Zea mays: one gene and its partner. The protein of the gene in region 1 interacts with the protein of each later gene in a pairwise test. Links are inferred from orthologs where the notes say so. Each region holds a gene or a part of one and is shown in the gene's direction. Other genes may lie near its edges.

Evidence for each region. The genes of interacting proteins can lie anywhere in the genome.
Region 2: the proteins of Cactin (region 1) and uncharacterized protein LOC100193457 interact in binary tests that used the Arabidopsis thaliana proteins (3 or more experiments, as listed by UniProt). The link is inferred for Zea mays from reciprocal best matches to the Arabidopsis thaliana genes AT1G03910 and AT5G63440.

What each region holds. Positions count from the first base shown.
Region 1 is NC_050096.1:296,052,745-296,055,276, forward strand, and holds the end of Cactin, read left to right. Parts: coding exon 1-113; intron 114-193; coding exon 194-336; intron 337-769; coding exon 770-943; intron 944-1,372; coding exon 1,373-1,639; intron 1,640-1,725; coding exon 1,726-1,845; 3' UTR 1,846-2,022; downstream 2,023-2,532. UniProt on the Arabidopsis thaliana protein: Plays a role in pre-mRNA splicing by facilitating excision of a subset of introns. Required for embryogenesis.
Region 2 is NC_050102.1:32,853,829-32,857,875, forward strand, and holds the start of uncharacterized protein LOC100193457, read left to right. Parts: upstream 1-1,239; 5' UTR 1,240-1,439; coding exon of another isoform or gene 1,440-1,539; coding exon 1,540-1,554; intron 1,555-2,104; coding exon of another isoform or gene 2,105-2,118; coding exon 2,119-2,219; intron 2,220-2,781; coding exon 2,782-2,935; intron 2,936-3,016; coding exon 3,017-3,113; intron 3,114-3,305; coding exon 3,306-3,394; intron 3,395-3,697; exon of another isoform or gene 3,698-3,726; coding exon 3,727-3,795; intron 3,796-3,931; coding exon 3,932-3,991; 3' UTR 3,992-4,047. UniProt on the Arabidopsis thaliana protein: May play a role during early embryonic development. Probably involved in pre-mRNA splicing.

The sequences.
Region 1 (2,532 bases):
TATCCTAAGGAAGCATTTACATCGATTGGAGCATCCTGGTGCTGCTGAACAGGATGTGGATTCTGAGAAAGAAGTTGATAATAAACTGGAGGATGAAATGCATGAGGACGAAGGTTGACCTTCTTTTATGATTACTCAATCAACTATGTTCCCAAGATAATGAAGTGATTTCTGATATATGTTCTATTTGTAGATGATAAACGATATTCACCTGAGCCTATGCCTCAGCAGACAGATAACGAATTTGAAGAGGCAGATGGATCCTTTTCTCCACAGCTAATGCATGGCAATGAAGATGAAGATGCAATTGATCCTGAAGAGGACAAAGCTGAGCTGGTAGAGTCCTGTTTTTTATTTCTTATTAAAATAGAAACGTGATTGGAACTGTAATAGTTATTTGCTGAAATGCAGTTAACTGAGTAGTTTAATTGTCAAGTACAGATCATTAGTAACCAGACTCCAATTTATGCAACAAAGTAGGCTAACCAACAATATTAGGACAAAAAGTTCTACTGATATTTTTTTCATTAGGACAACCTTTCAAACTGCTGCAGGCCTCCCTGCATCTCCTTCATTGATTCATTTAGCTCCCATCATTTTTACCCTAAGAGAGGGCTTAAATTTGAGGGCTTTCAAGTGTTCATATACAAACACAATGAGTGAATGTTTTTCTTACGAACAAGTTATTAGGATTCATTTTATGAGTTGATTAGATAATTAGGATGAGGGTGACAATTCATACTTAATGCTTTTATATAATAATTTCCAGGACCGAAAACGTGAAGCTGTAGTTTTGGAGCATCAAAGAAAAGTTCAGGAAGCCATGAAAACAAAGGCAAGAGTACCTGATGAGATGGAGATGAAGGCCATAAAAACAATGGGAGCTATGGAGGAAGGAGATGCAGTATTTGGTGCCGGTGCTGAAGTGAACCTTGATTCACAGGTTTGGATCATTTTTCTTTGATCCCATTGCATTTTTAGCATGGCAACATGACAATAGTTGTATATCTATGTTGTCCAATATTCTGCCTTTGATACTGAATTAGTGGGAGAGTTTTCAGAACTCAACAGGGATATGGCATAACTGTGACAATTTTTTTACTGTCGATCCAGAAGGATCGATGATTATCTGCACCATATATAACATACCATAAGCTACACCAAAATTTTCAAATAATCTGTTGACTCATGTAATTTATAGTTGAGTATATTTTGACAGTTTAATATAGGTCTAATGCCATATTTGAGTTTGATACCATGCATGGTAACAAGCTTACACACAAGAAGCATTACTTAGCAACTTTGGTGCATCGTACTGCATGTGAACTCAGCTAGTTTCTGATGGCATATTGCTTGTTCAATATACTTGCAGGTGTACTGGTGGCACGACAAGTATCGACCAAGAAAGCCCAAGTACTTCAATCGGGTGCACACTGGATATGAATGGAATAAATACAACCAGACTCATTATGACCATGATAACCCACCACCGAAAATTGTCCAAGGCTACAAGTTCAATATATTTTACCCTGATCTTGTGGACAAATCGAAAGCACCAACATACAGTATAGAGAAAGATGGAAGCGCCGGAGAGACTTGCTTCATAAGATTTCACGCTGGACCTCCATACGAGGATATTGTAAGCGTTTGTGCCTTACAATGTTTTGTTCTATTCTTCTGTGGCCTTATCCATGGGCGGTATTTTCACTTTGTTTTGTTCCACAGGCTTTCCGTATTGTGAACAAGGAGTGGGAATACTCACACAAGAAGGGGTTCAAGTGTACTTTTGAGCGTGGGATTCTCCATCTCTATTTCAACTTCAAGCGTTACCGTTACAGGCGCTGAAATGGCTCAAGAGGCAGGGGAAAACTGGATCGATTGGACTGGTGCGTCATGATTCTGCTGTATGCTGTGGCATGGATACCAGTCGAGTATGTATCTTCAGTATAATTAGGTACTATGCTAAATGGGAACACACTTTTTGGTTTTACTGACTGATTCCCCCCTTTTTTGAGGTTGTACAATAATACAGCATAGCAAGCTGATAGTTTTCTAACAAACTAGCATGTAGTCTGTGCTAACGCTAAGATCTCGGTAATGAGAGGGGTTGATGGCGGTGGCAACACGAGTAAGAGGAGGGGTGGCGGGGTCGCTGGAGAAGAGTGATAAGGGATGATTCAAATAATAGTCTATTGGATTTAAAAAGGGAGAGGAAGTCATCCACTAATTTAAACCGTTGGTTTTAATGGCTTTTAAGTTTATGTGTAATTTGTTTGTTAGATTTAGTGGAGGTTATAAGTGTGTGAGTGATTTGGTTGGATGATTTTTGCAAAGTTTAAACGGGTGGATCTTAAACCCAACCGACCATAGAGCGCTCCCACCCTTATATGCATCAATTGTGTTTAATTTCGATGCAATCATGGAAGCAAACCAAAAGCCATGGCTGGCCAGTGGCCATATCAACAATGAAAGGTTATGCTGCATCCAGGAACAATACTACAGAAACATCCTGTAATGTAGCCGATACAAAAC
Region 2 (4,047 bases), on another chromosome or scaffold:
ATCCGAACTCGGATACAGTCATACAAATTAGATCTCAGCCATCTCAGATGGATCAAATTCGAATACAAACGAATAATATATGTACCATTTACATCCCTAGTAGGGGCGATACAGGAGCTTCGTTGGACCTGGGAGACTATATCTAACAACTTACTCATCCTCCGATCCTATTTTAAGCTCCACTATGCCAAATACAGGACAATGTTTTGCAATACTATTTATACGATCTGGTGGTCATAACCCAAGAGGCAAGCCTATCTCTAGGAATACTATTAACCTATTTTATTTTATTTTTTTATTTTAATCTTCACTCTATAAATAATACTATATACTCTATAAATAATACTATATAGAGTGAAAATAATATTTCACATGACCAGATGTAAGATGTGTTGAGCACAACATAAGTTCATCTCTAGCAAACCTTATAACTGTTTTATAATTTATTGCATTATTTATATAATAGAGGGCAACAACTAATATGCAATCAGACCATATGTGTAGCATGCAAGCGAGGCTACTGATATGTTAGATCACGATCCAACTATATATCACATTTAACACTTAGGTGCTGTTTGGTTCGCGAAATGTAACGTAAATAGTAATGGTAACGATTCACACTTAAATATCGGCGAAAGGGCCTCTAGCTGAGTTGGTTAGGTGGTCTGAGTAGCACTCCTCAGGTCCTATGTTCGACTCCTCGTGGGAGCGAATTTCAGGCTGTGGTTAAAAAAATCCCCTCGTCTGTCCCACTCCAAAGCACAGGTCTAAGGCTTAGCCCCGGTCGTGGTCGTTCTCACATGTACTTCGATGCCGCTGTGTATGGGTGGGGCAGGGGTTCGGGGGTTTTCTTGACCTGTGTGAGAAGGTCTTCTTCTTAACACAATGCTCGGGGGCTGTCTTACCCCCGCAGGTCAAGTTTTTTTTTAATAAATTTGAATAAGGCGATATTCATTTGTAGTGTAGTATCGATTACGGTTGGATTTAAACAAACATGATTTAACGTTATTAGTTACCTGTTACGTTACCAATACGTGAAACAAACGGCACCTTAAACCTTTCCACTACCAGCTCGTGCAGATTTATAGAAAACCTCATAATAAATCAGGATTATATTTACAGTTGGATCATAATCTAACGTACTAACACACTTGTATATAAGGTCTGATTGCATATTAATTGTTGTCGTAATAGAGTTTTAAAAAGAGAGTAATATAGGGAGTGATATAGAAGTTTGCTATCAATTTTTCTTCTCTCGTGGCTCCGACGCTCCTTTCTTTCTCGGAGGCGACAGCTCGAACTCGAATCCCTCATCCAGCCTGGCGCTGGCGTCGCCGGTCGCCGCCGCTCGATTGCCTCCGCCTGAATATCCCTTGCCCCATAAGGCCTGACCTTGAAAGCCTCGCCTCTTGATCCCGGCGGCGGCGGAGGGGAGGGCGATGCCGAAGCGGACGACACACACCTACTCGAGCGAGGACGCACTGCCGGAGGGCCCCGAGTCCGACCTTTTCGTATACTACTGCAAGCACTGCGCCTCACATGTCCTCATCACCGGTCAGCTCCTCCTCCCCCATTCGCTTAATTTTCTCAGATCTGGTAGTCTGCTAGGAATTAAGGGAGGTTGGGTCCTTAAATTCAAGCGGAAGATTCAGCTTTGAACTCTTCGAGGAGGGGATAGTTTTTATCTAGGAAAAAATTAGCTACCAGTTCTAGACCACACGACAACATTTCTCTGCATACTTCAATTTTCTTCGTTTGTATTCTAGCTGTGGAGGTACTGTAGCACTAGTCTAGTTAGTCTGCATCTAGTGTGTGTATTGCACAAATGTAATTGTACCAGCGAGTGAAGGGAACAAATCATGCAAATCTAATTTATAGCAGGCTGATTAATACTTTCATCAAATAGACTAAAAGCTAAAAGTAGACAAATTTTGTAAAACCTCATGTTCCAAAAACGTTTTTAAAGTTTATGCTTCATCATCAGCAGCAGATTTTTCTTAATTTGTGTCACTAGGAATTGCTACTGTTTTTTTAGGAAGTACTAGTATAAACAATTCGAGAATGATTTTTTTGTATATTCCATTCTGATATGTTTGTTCTGAAGATACCCAATTGCAGAAAATGCCCAAGCGAAAGACTGACAGAGCACATGTTTTAGACAAGGCTAAGCATCTTTCAAGGCTAAATGTTAAGGAGGCAGGAAAAGTAATGTTGAAACGGTATAATAATATCCCTCATACTCGTACTGGAGTTCTTCACCTCACTTATATTGTAACTATGTTCTGATTATCAAATCTAATGTCTTGTGTTTGTACGTTCTTCTGTAAATTCTAAATGCTGGTGAATATCTTAAGTTGTCAGATAGTATGTAACTAAGAAATTGGGTGGTATTTTGGCTACATGTGTGCACCACTTTCTTTTAGGAGAAACAAATCTTTTTGTGGCCTCATCAATTCAATATGTTTACAGATTTTTCAATAGTGTAGCAGGATTATTATACACTATGGGAATTATTTATGTAACATGATCTGCAATTATATGCATACTCCTTTGAAAGAACCCACCTCAGGCCTTGATTGGCTACACTCTAATTCACATGTATTGCGGTGGATTGGGATTAAAATCTAGTTAATTTCCATCCTAATCCACCTCATACATATGCATTGGGATGGATTGTAGTCCAGGTGTGCAGCCAAACAAGCCTTCAGGGTTATTATTCCAAAGTGACTACCATGTTATACTTCAGATTGTGGTGATTATGTAATTATATATTTCATGCAGTGGTGAAGGAAAGCTTGAAAAGCAGTTTCGCATGAGCTGTGTGGGATGTGACCTTTTTGTTTGTTACCGATCAGAAGAGGATCTGGAGGTTGCCCCTTTCATATACGTTATTGACGGAGCACTGAGTTCAGTTGCTGCTGAGACAAATCCACATGTATATACCGCATCAGCAGAAAGTCCTTAGCTAAATTCAACCTGCTTGTATTTTCTAGGTCTAATGATCGTAAAACTGCAGGATGCTCCTGTACCTCCTTGCATCACACAACTGGAAGGTGGACTTGTCCAAGTAGCCATTGAAGTGGAAGACCGGGCACAACGTTCAGCAATAACAAGTATGCATTTTTTAACAATGTAGTATGCTATCTTTTTTTTGAAACTACAACATGCAATGTTTATGATGAAAAGTTGTACATGGCTGCACTGACAGTTTCATGTGAAACATTGTAGATTGGACATTGGTGTGCACTATTTCTTTGAGTTCACTGGTGCATACAATGTGTTGACAGAATTCTGTGTGTTTTCAGGAGTGAATGCTGATGACGTTCGAGTAACGGTAGCTGCCCTTGCTGCTCGAGGGGAAGCTAACAGTGAGTTGCTAGAATTTATGGGCAAGGTGATTTTCTTCAATGACACTCTAATCTTATTGTGGTGTGGTATTGTGCACTTTGAGCCTTGTAAAAAGTGATATTCTGATTGCTCCAGCGTGCCATCACATGCAATAAGTGTAGGTTAAAATGTCTTTGAATCTATGCTCAAATTATACAAAGAAGTATGCCCTTGGTTATAAATTTATACAAATTTAGTTGGTAGTCTAAATTCTGAGGCAGCCATTTTCCAGTAGGGGGCTTATTTATAACTGGGAAGGTTTTAGCCTTTGACAATAACCAGTTTCGATTTTCAACCTTGTTATGTGAAGATGTCCATGTTGATGGCTTGTGAAAGCAGGTTCTTGGCCTAAGACTGACTCAGATGACCCTTCAAAGAGGATGGAATAACAAATCTAAGCTTCTAATTGTGAGTTCTTACTGCTAATAGTATCCAGTTCTGATGCACTGAACTGAATCCTATATTATTTTTCTTTCCCGCAATTTTTTTACATGTATCTACTATTGTTTCTCTTCTAAAAATATACTTGGGATTTTGCTCTAAGGTTGAGGATTTGTCTGCACGGCAAGTGTATGAGAAGCTCCTAGAAGCTGTACAACCTTAGGCACCCGAGCGATGGAGCAATGTGGTATGCAGTATGCGTCTGGATATTCTCTTTCG